Drosophila melanogaster: one gene and its partners. Changing the gene in region 2 together with the main gene of any one other region gives a genetic interaction. Each region holds a gene or a part of one and is shown on either strand. Other genes may lie near its edges.

The links.
Region 1: of Mmp2 (region 2) and Sema1a, changing one suppresses a phenotype caused by changing the other (phenotypic suppression), as found in Drosophila melanogaster (one study listed by BioGRID).
Region 3: of Mmp2 (region 2) and Timp, changing one suppresses a phenotype caused by changing the other (phenotypic suppression), as found in Drosophila melanogaster (3 studies listed by BioGRID).

The regions. Positions count from the first base shown.
Region 1 is NT_033779.5:8,540,141-8,543,897, forward strand, and holds the start of Sema1a (semaphorin 1a), read left to right. Parts: upstream 1-2,006; 5' UTR 2,007-2,072; intron 2,073-3,072; exon of another isoform or gene 3,073-3,575; intron 3,576-3,757. Other genes in the region: CG17834 (uncharacterized protein), read left to right, coding at 318-1,096. UniProt on the Drosophila melanogaster protein: Involved in growth cone guidance through its role in axonal repulsion. Function in neurons is essential for adult survival, motor neuron survival, and is important for climbing behavior and activity.
Region 2 is NT_033778.4:9,682,169-9,685,925, forward strand, and holds the start of Mmp2 (matrix metalloproteinase 2), read right to left. Parts: upstream 1,691-3,757; 5' UTR 765-1,690; coding exon 615-764; intron 1-614. UniProt on the Drosophila melanogaster protein: Has metalloproteinase activity. Proteolytically cleaves the PGRP-LC receptor; involved in gut-fat body innate immunological communication (GFIC)-mediated activation of the imd/Relish signal transduction pathway.
Region 3 is NT_033777.3:10,211,396-10,215,152, reverse strand, and holds the start of Timp (tissue inhibitor of metalloproteases), read left to right. Parts: upstream 1-2,145; 5' UTR 2,146-2,394; intron 2,395-3,757. Other genes in the region: Syn (synapsin), read right to left, coding at 1-181. UniProt on the Drosophila melanogaster protein: Metalloproteinase inhibitor that acts on both matrix metalloproteinases Mmp1 and Mmp2 in vitro. Complexes with metalloproteinases and irreversibly inactivates them by binding to their catalytic zinc cofactor.

The DNA of each region.
Region 1 (3,757 bases), on a different chromosome or scaffold from region 2:
ATCTATTAAATTTACTATAAAACTTAACTAGTAAGTTCCGCCTCTAAAATTTCCATTTTAGCCAAAGTCGAGGGCTAGTTATTATCTGCACATATCTTTCCTATCTGCCATGAACTCAACCGTTATCTTGTTTGCCAACCTTTTATGCGTCTTACAATGGCATCTACTTTTCCAACTCTTCCAAAGATAATATTGTCCTCTCTGGCAGCTGGCTAATTAGGGTACAATGAAATCAGGACAATATCTCTAAATAATATGGGTTTAGTTACTTGCAAATGCAGAACACTTTTTAAACGGAGTATATCTTCTTTTTGCAGGAGATGCCACTGATGCGAGAACAGGATCGACCGAGAAGCGAATCACCTTCACCCTGGCTCCCAGTTCGGCCGAATGCTCGCCGTCGGGTAGCCAAACGACACTTACTCCCAAAAAGTTCGAGGCCATTGCCGAGGAGGAGAAGGAGGACGACAAGGCCGATGAGGAGGAGGAGATCATGGAGGAGGTGGTGCTGCGACCTCGCCTCATCGACCGGCATCCTCATCTGCTGGCCAACCCCAGTGGACTGACGACCACGCCCAAACGGATCCTGCGATCCGCCAAGAGCGTTCCGCACATGAATGTCCGTTCGTCGGCCAGTGAGACGGATATATTCTCCATTAGCGGTACGATGACCGGAAGCAGTCAGATCAGCATGACGCCGGAGGTGCCATCGATATCGTTCAGTAATCTGCCTAAGAACTACGAGGACACGCCCACTATTGAGAAGTACCGGGTATCGCAGAGTCTCTATTCCATTCAAACGGCGAATGCTGCTCGGGCCACACAGGATGATTACTCCATGCCGCGCTACTTCCGTCGATCTGCCATGCTATTGACCCAGAGCTCTGAGGTGCTGCCCGGCGCCAGTTCACTGGCCTCCATGTCGCCATCGATGGCCTCGTCCTCTGCCTCGCCCGGGTCCTCCAAGGACGAACTGCGACGGCCAGAGAAGGAGAAGAGCAAACGACTCCAGATGCTGCGTGGCAATCTACCGCCCTTACTTATTCATTCCGTGTCCTTCAAACGAAATCGCGACGAGGGCAAGCAGGTTGACTAGTCGCACTGCAGATATACATATTTATTTGTTAATCACTTTGTCCATGTTTTTAATGTTTTAAATTTATTAGCCTTTAGTACCTGCTTATGCGTTTTCTGTATTATCTTCTAAGCAATGACCTTGTCCAAACAATTCCTCAGTATTCAGATGTACTTCATTTTGAATTAATGATTGATATTACAAAATAAATTGTATTTTACCACAAAAAACAGCGATTAAAGATCCTACTTAATAAATCTTTATAAAAATCTAAACGATATCTATTTGTACCATTTTAAAAGAAATAAATGCGAGCTTGAAAAAAAATGCACTTATCTCCCCGACGGGGAATTGAACCCCGGTCTCCCGCGTGACAGGCGGGGATACTAACCACTATACTATCGAGGATGTTATACAAAGTGAGTCAAACTCGGGTTTTCCGTTTGCGGAGTGTGAATGCTTGTTTCAATTTCATCTGTTCCCCATTTGTACTCTGAAGACAGTGTGCAAGCTCGAGACGGTTGTTTGACAGTGGGTAGACAACATCCTCGATAGTATAGTGGTTAGTATCCCCGCCTGTCACGCGGGAGACCGGGGTTCAATTCCCCGTCGGGGAGAGATGTAAAAATTACTTTTTGTTGATTGTTTTAATTTATTAATTTAATTTTTTAATTTTTTAATTTCAAAATTTAAGTAATGCAATACATGTTTCAGACCAACAAATTAAAATAAAAAATTGCACCATATAGCTTAAAAAAACGTCAAACATGTATATTTAATTAGGTCATCCTGGAAGTGATATATAATGAAACACATTTCAACGGGTATATAAGTTTTGTTAAGGGGTAACTGTAAGCCGGACCCATTTAGCTTACCACCCAATATGGTAGCACTGGCTGTAGAAATTCCCAATGGCAACGCTAGTCGACCAGTTTTCATTCGTATTGGCGTGTGTGTTGTTTGTACAACAAAACATTCTAGTTGTTTTATTTGCAAGGTGCTCATATAAAAACATAAACAATATATTTCGTAGAGTGCCCTAATAATTTATTAAGTTGTGAATTAAACAAATATGAATAAGAAGCGTGTCCAAGTGAATTGGTTAAATTGTAAATTATAAATAAAGCAATACATATAAACGGCCGGCAAAACAGAGAGCGCGTTTTAAGAGAGAACCTAATAGGAAAAGAGTGTAGAGCTGCCAGGTTTCAATTAGGTACCAGGTACCAAACGTATTTATTATTCGAGAAGAACTATTTTTGGTGACTAAATATGGTTTCTGATTATAGAAGTGTTCTCCTAATATATAATTTTTAAAAATTTTTTTCTACACGTGCCCTCAGATTGTTGATATTCAAAATTCGTACACAAACGCCCTTGACAGGCGCAGTCTCACCCGCGCCCACTGAGAGCGGAACGACGGAAATTTCAAACATTATTTCTATTTTCTATTTGAATTGAAACTATGTATTTTCCATAATTTTCAAAATATTCTTGATTTTTTTTGAATAACTAAATTAATTATTTTAAGTATCGCGAGGGAGAATAAGAGTTTAAAGCGGCCGATTATATTGAGGGGGAGTTTCAGTCAACGAAAAGGAAATAGTGAGAGGAGAGGGCTTATTGAAGAGAGCCTCTCATTTTAAAATTTCTCTTTAAGCGTGTTCCTTCTAAAGGACACAAGAAACTAATATGTTTATGAAATAAGAAACTTAACCGTGTATGTGTTTTCCAATTTTGCGTGAACAAATAAAAGAGCTCAAGCATTTTATCGTTTGAGTAATTTTAGATAAAAATTTATTAATATTTTTTAATGTTTTCAATTTGCCATAGACAACATTTTTTCCAATAAAATTCGGTAATATAAATAACATGGTGTTATGGCCTGCAATTTTTATATAAATTTTTAGTAGCACGCTCTTAGTTTAATATTTAGGTCAATAAAATAATTATCCTTATTGTTTTTTTTTTTAATTTGCATATTGTTTGTTGACCAGCTGTTAAGAGAAGAGAGGAGAGAGAAAAAGAGAACCGAAAAAGTGACCGTTCGCGACTTCGCAGTCAGCGCTGGAAAACGCACTAACGCGCGGAAAATGCCCTAGCGCCAGAGAAAGTGCCATTTGAGACTGAACTCTCTTTCGTGCGAGTTCCCTTTTCATTCGAAAATTTAACGCCCGCGCTGCTGCAGCGCGTTGTTGCTCCGGTTGGAAAATATCTGAAAACAGCATTAATAAATAAACAAAAATATTGGATAAATCGCCGGTAGAAACGCTGCATAAAACGAAATTTGGTTTCTTGTAAAATATTATTTTTCAAGATATTTTCTTGTTAATTTCCGGATATTCGACAAGGATATAAATGTTTCTTTCGCGTTGATAAACAAATTCCAGCACCGCTACCTTTGTGTCGCGCAATTGTGAAAAGTGATTTGTCCATTGTGTACATTAATTAATAAATTGGTAATTGCTCAATTTAGAAACATGTGCAATCGAGAGCTAGTGTGAGTGTTTGTGTGCAACAATAATAAAGCCGAAAATTGCCCAATTGCAATTGGCAATCACAACAAAATTGGAATATTATGGCACATTAGAAAAAGAAAATAACGAAAACTGTGTTTCCACCCAAAGTTTAGGCCGCAGCAGAGCGAATCCACAAAAATATACAATTTCGGCAATTTTTCCA
Region 2 (3,757 bases):
GAGCATTTTGGGATTTTGAGGTCATAGGCTCGAGCAGCCACAGCAGCATCTGCATCGTGGAGTGAGGGGGAGGGGGGGATATGTGTGCTGGGGGCCTTCAGATCCGTCTATCTCGATTGTACTTAACCCGCCTCTCGATTTACTGTCTGCTACCAAATGCGGAGATACGGATTGAGTATCTGAGCCGCCGGAATGAAAATGCGCCTACTGTAGGCTAATTTTGTTTTCCTTTGTCCCCTTTCTAATTTACCTTCTTGCTCTTTAACTTCCTATTTACATTGTTTAATTATTTATGTCACATTCAATAATTGCTTTTACAATTTTTATTGCAAACATTGTGCGATTTCCAACAGCTCTAGGGATTCAAATGTCAATTATTGATGAATTTTTATTGAAATGGCAATTGGGTCAAACAGTGCTTAAGCATTTACCATCAGATATATGTAGGATGATTGATTGCATTGCGTTTTATTTTGGGGAATTATTTTCATTTCAGTCGATGCACTTTGTATAAACACCCAAATTTACTAACTTGATCGATACGATATATCATCTTATAGAGCTTAAAAAAGCTGGGTTCGGAAAAATCGAAGTTTTCAAATTTGGAGCCTTACCATTATATCCTCGGAGATAGCGGTTTTTGCCTTCTTGGACCTGGTCGCAGCGGTGGAGTGAGATCCTTCGGGTGGGAGGGACAGCTCCTGGATGCACATGGATTGCGCAAAGAGTGCGAGCAGGGTGGCGAGAACATATTTGGAAAACATTTCGCCGCTCTCTTTCGCTCGCGCAACGAAAACACTTGGACACGAAACTATTCCTCGATCAGTAGGAACAAAACTGTGTATTTATCTTTATTCTATGTTCGAGGCTTAATTAACCGATGTGGTGGACTAACAATTCGTAGTGCTAAGCTGGGAATTGAACTTTTCACTTTTGTTTTAGTTTCGCTGCTGTTGTTGTTTTTGCTATTGTTGTCGCCTCGGCCGCGGGGGTTGACACAGACACACATGCGCATTGGCGGCACTCACACGAATACCCGGCAGCATAAATACAGCTGCAGCAGCAACAAAAACAACGGAAGGAGCGATGGGTTGTGGCGGGGAGCGGTGGGGATTGGGCGGGGGTATTCCCGTTTTTCCGTTTGGCGCTTCTTGTTCTGGCGTTTTGTGCTTGCCGCTTTGTTGTGGCCACTGCTTCTTTCCTTGGCTTTCCTTTCTCTCTGTGCCTTCCGCCCTTTTGCGCTCTTTTACATATGACGCATACGAATGGTGGGAAAACAAGGAGCTGGGGGCGTTGAGTTGGGTTGGGCTGGATAGAATTTAAATTTGGTGTGTATAGAATGCACACTATAGAATGCCACTTGGCCACAAAAACACAATTAATTAGCACGCAGTGGCTGCACAAAGGAAAGACTTTCCTTGTTCATCCGTTTTTTAGTATATGCCCGATACCAACACCGATTCCCGATTCGCGTTACCCGATTCCTGTCAACCGTTACGTCGCTTTGTTCACCCCACAAAAGAAAACGCTAGAAGTGGGCGGTGCTCTTTTATTCGCGTGTTTTGTGCAAGCATAAATCTCAATTTCTCCTTTTTACATTTATTTGTTTCTGTCGAATTCGAAATAAAAAATCTCGTTATACCGCCGAAAGCGGGTTTACCGCGCGGATGTCTAAATGTGACTGAACTGCTGACTTGCCTCGACGTGAAGCGACTTGAAGAGGCGGGCACAAAGAGCACAAAAATACAGAGTAGCTTCTCTTCATTTGGGCGGATATGCCAGCGATCGCGGTTGATTTATGAAAATACGTAAGAGTAGAAGAAACTCGCTCTTGTCTCACGCTCTTAAGGGGGCACAGAAAGAAAAAGCACGAATTCCAAGAGGCTCTAAAGGATTTTAAAAAATTATTTTAAATTAGGCAGCAAAAAACATTTTTTTTTTCGTAATAATCTTTTTAAATTCTGAGCCTATAACTTTGTTCATCCGTATTTGTATAGTTTTTTATTTAGAGATCTGAAATCCAATGTATTTAAAATTTCCTTTTTACATATGAAAGAATTATATTAAAACTGAAAGTACAAACACCGTGGTCAAAGACATTTATGTATTTTCCACTTTGTTATTATATTTGACTCATAAAAAAGTAATTTAATTAATTTAATTTAATTTAAACTTAAATCGGTAGCAGTATATAAATTATTGCTACATTCATTATAATTTTATACCATATACTCTTATGATTTGATTTTTGGTATTTTATTGTAAAACAATAATAAACAAAATTTTTTTTAAATAGTATAATAGCTTCAAATATTTCAAATTATGTTGGTCTGTGTGACTTTGGGTAGGTTCTTTTCTTAAGTGTATATTAATATTTCTCTCTGCTCTTCGATATTAATATTTTTTGGCTACTTTATACTCTTCGATTTTGGCTACCTAAAAAGTGTCAGTCTAACACGTTTCCGCCAAGTTGGGACATTTGCCTATTGCACAATAAACACAAGGCAGATGGCGTTAAATATTGATTGATCGAGTAGTTCCATGAAAAAGGAAACTAAAATCTAAAAAATAATGAATCGATATGAGTTAGCTACATTTGATTTCTAATATTTATGAATAAGTATGAATACACCCACACCCTCGAAAATAAAAAACCCAGATCAAAAAAAAAAAAGCCCATATATTCTTGGGTACTTGTTATCATATACTGCAGAGTATTATTCACCAAGCCGGTTATATTTTTGAATGAATCAAAATACGAATGTTAGCCGCTGCCGGTTACTCAACGTAGTATTCGAAAGGATGATTATCTTTTTCCATTCACAATCTTTTGGAAATCCCAAATAGTCATTGATAATGCTCTTGCATAAGCAGCCTTGATATATCCAATATCAATGTCCACTTAAACTCAATTTACTGTCACTTAATCATAGCCAATCTAGAACCGCAGTAGATCTAGTCCCTTGATGAGTCGAAATGCTATAAAATCTATAAATGATTGTTTTGAAAATGTATATGTTCTGCGATAAATGCAAGTTTATCATAAATATATAACCCCCACGGGGTAAGAGATAGTAAAATCATATTTTGGTATTATCACATTCAAATGTATTTCATTTCGAAACATGATCGTTTAGTGGCGTGCACCACTGTATGTACACACAGATATCCGAAACAACTTGCCGGCAATTTCTGAACTTAGACTGAGGTCTTGGGTTCAAGTGCTAATTGGCCACGAAATTGAATGCAAAACCGATTTTTGATCTGCGGCTGACCCAAATAAAGTACAAATGACAAAATTACTGATGATACATGGTCGGGCCATCGAAAGGTGAGTAATTTTCGAAGTTGCGACATCAATATATATAAAATCGTCTTATCAGTTCGATGTTGTTACACCTATTACTCAATGGTAGTTTTGATAGAAAAGGCAGACCCATGGTCAGGAGCGAGAAAGCAGTTATCGGAAGCTTCCAGCGGAAGGAAACACAAGATAGTGCGGCTCGGTGTGAGCGTTCCGAGAGGTTAGTAACTCTTCAATGATTCACTGCATCATTGCACTATCTTTCTTGTTTACTGGCTTTCGCTACAACTGCTGATAGCCGTATCTTTATCGTTAGCTTAAGTACTTCCATACCCCTTGAGCTGGTCGGGAGTATCGAAACAGTCGCCGATTTAAGATCAGCGGGTGCAAGTTCGTGACATATTCATTATGGACTTCGTACGACTACGAATATGGGTATGGGTATGGGTATCT
Region 3 (3,757 bases), on a different chromosome or scaffold from region 2:
GCACGCTGAACTTGGCATCGATATAGGGCTCGATGGTGCAGTAACAATGGGAATCGTTACCAGCACCGCTCACCAATCCGGCGGCATCTTGCAGGGCGCTCTGGTTCTCCAGGCGAGCGGTGGCCACTCCGCCATGGCAATGTCCAGCCTTCAGCACGCTTGGGAACTTGGTGAATTGGAACTGCAAGTGCACGGAGAGAAAGAATTTATAATTTAGTTAGTTTAGTTTTTAACCATGTTTTTATGATGGTTTTCTATTGAGGCGAGCACGATATATTGTGATTATCCCAAATAAATATGTCATAATCTCAAAGTGAATATTAATAATTTTAGGACTAATCTGACTAATCCAAAAAATTGAATAGTTTCAGATTTTATAAATAGCCTTTAAACATTTTTAGAAAAGTTTTATAGACCTCGCTTTAATGACTGACATACTTTATGGTACATTAAGTTAAATAAAAAAAATGTATATATTTAAAACACTTTCTTCTTGTGTTGGGAATAAAGACACCGAGGCAATCACAATATGTTTTTCACTGTCTGATTGAAATTCTATAAATTACAATATACCGATGAGCTCTTTACTTCCATTTTTTCTCATTTTATTTTCTGCGGAAATCAAGGGGCGATGCTTATTAATCCATTGGATAAGTGCCAAATTCATTGGTTGTTTTTGCCCTCATTCCGATCACGAATCTGGCCATGGAAATTTTCTTTTGATTTGCCAGACGAATTCCAAGAATCCTCGATCATTAGTCAGGCAGGAACATTTCATGAAAATACCTTATAGTTATTAATGGCGCATGCAAATCACTATTAAATATGCAACAGCAACAATGCCCAGCCCTCAAATATTTGACTAATTCGCATTTTATTAATTTTACATCGTTGCTCATGGTTATTACATTTATATATGCAAATCGCCAACCGATTACCCTTGTTAATCATCTCTCCCAGACCCAAAGCCATATTTAAACAGTTGATAAATCACAAGTAAACACATGGGCTTAATTTTGTGTTGCATTGGCAGAGAATGAATAAATCAAAATAAAACCAAATGGAAAACCATAACAACCATGACGCAGCTCGAAGAATTGTCGCAATTGCCGCCGATGAAAGACCGTCCTGTTGACAGAAAGCCCCAAACAAACAGAGTGCGAGAAATCTCTCAATGAACATAAATATATATAGGTATCTGAGATGTATCTGGACCGAGAATAAGAGTGACTATCAGAATGAGACGTCACACCCCCACATAGCCAGCATTCTTGGAAGCTGCTACGTGTTCCGCCTGAGTACCCACCGTCTAGGGAACTGCATCTCGGTTATATCAGCGGACTTAAAATATGCACTGTGACGCATTCGTAGTGCCCTGAAGCGGGTTCATCGATTGACAGTGGTGTCTGGTGTATAAGTGCACAGGAAGAAAACGATTTAAATAAGTTTCAACATTGGCACAGACCACTATACTGATCACAATTGTAAAACCCTATTATATTAAATCTTATAATTTTGTAATATTATTATAATATTCTTAAGCCATCAGTAGTGCAACGTTAAGTATCCCCAACCGTTTCTCGCCGTGTAGATCTGTAGTGCGGTGGCGTTACCGGGTCGGGTATGCAGATTATGGCAACGTGCTGTAGGTGGAGCATGGAGTATGATATGAAGCATGACCGGAGCAACAGCACGTGTGTGCGCCACATGGTCAGAGGAAGAGGAAGTTGGATCTCTGGCGAGTTTACGACTGGGCATAGCTGAATTATTAGTTGATTTGCGGCCTGACAGATGCGCTATTCTCTGCCGTTTCGTGTGGCGATCTCTTTTTGGCCATGGCGCCAAGTAACTACAACTATGCATATTGTATGCTATTATATGGCCGAGAGCATAAACCAGGCCCCTGCACGCAATTAATAAAGCTGCCAAGGTAACAAAATAAACGCAAAGAAAAATGCAATCGACTCTCCTCCACTTTCCACTCATTTGGGGCGAATTTATGGCGCTTTTGATCGCCCGACTGCCGCAAGAAACACTCAAGTTATAAAGACACGAGTGGATTCGACTCAAACGATCGATCGATCCGATCTCTCACTTCCCGAACAACTTGAGTGAAGAAAACAGTCGAATCGGTTGACTTGACGATCCAGTGCAGAACCGCAAGCGCAGCGAGCTAGAACGCCACAAAATCGGCGACGGAAAAATCGCGACATCGTACGAGATATATAGTACCAAGTAGTATAAAGTGCTGACGAGTCGAATCGAGTGCGAGTGCGAGTGCGAGTGCCGGTGAAAATACATTCAATTGTTTTTCCCGATTTTTGTGCCCTCGGGTTCAAGTGTTTAAAAGCCTGAAGTGCTAGTTTTACACACAAAATAGGTTGCAGCTTAAAGGTAACAAACTAGGCTTATTTTGCTAATTTTTGGTAATTTAAGAATTGAGTACTTGAATGCTTAATTGTGTTAATTTATTTTAAAAATTTCCGCATTGCCAAGTGTTGTGTCAGAAGTTAAATAGCCGGAATAAAATGGTTTGCTTATTTTTCCGCAAACAGAATTTTCATATATGTTTGAAAGGCAAAAAAAAGTTTCAGCTCAAAGAGCAGATTCAAAATAGCTTTTGTGGAGTTTTTAGCTAGAAATATTTTAAAATTAATTTTCTCTTATCAATTGATTTTTAAACTTTTCTCTTCTTTGATGCATTTTCCCCTGAGGTGCAAATTTCCACCTCAAAAACAAGTTGCAACTCAAAAGCCAAAGTACACAGCCATGTTTGTTTTTATTTTATTTTAGTTTTAGTTTTAGAGTTGTTTGGCATTTAGAAGATTGAAATTGAAATTGAAGGTATGCAAAACGCGCGACACAGACGCGTTGTGTATTTTATTTTGGGGCTATTTAAAACGCGCAGTGGGAAATGTGCCGACGTGACACAGCGACACAGTTTTCCAACGAAACGCTCATTTCTATTTATTGGCGTTTATTTATAATTTGTTTTTATTTGCCTAGCTGTGCATCTGCCTTCCCTGATCTTTTGGAGCGCCCCGAGTTTTCTTCTGGCCTTTCGAATTGTCTTAATAGTTTTTATTGTCGCCAATTTGTAAACAAACTGCAGGCCATTAAGAAATATACAACTAGTTTGCTTGTGCAATCCAGTCTGATCGTAAAGCCCATTTGAATCTGTGATGTACAAGTAACAATTTTGTTGGATGTCAAGGAAAGCGAAACGGTTGTGTGCGCCAGAGGTATTTCCATATTACGCATACGTCATGTGTGTTTTGGCATTGGCCATTTAGTGTCTAAAAATAAAGAAAAACATTTAATGCTTCTCGACTCTCACAAAAAAAAAAAAAACACCAATAAAATGTACAAGCACATCACAAGGGAGGGGAGTAAAGACTTCTCCAGGGAAATGCATTTCAAGTGGGTTTTCCCCTTTCTTTTCCATTGAGTTTTCTTTTGACAACTCGCATTGTTTCGCATGGATATTCATAATTTCGTTTTCCTTCATTTGACTTTGGATTCACTGTTGGCTTTTCGTTTTGTTTGTGCGCCATTTAAATGAGCTTGTATTTCGTATTGGCTTTTCAGCTTTTCTGGGATATTATATACTACGTTGACTTTTATTTTCTTTTTTTTTGCCATCAGATAACACTTATTATCGAATGGAATTTAAATTTCTAAAGTCTGCTAATTTTTGAATTGAATGCATTGTTTGCTTTTCTTACGACACATATTGCCATATGGCACCTTAACATTA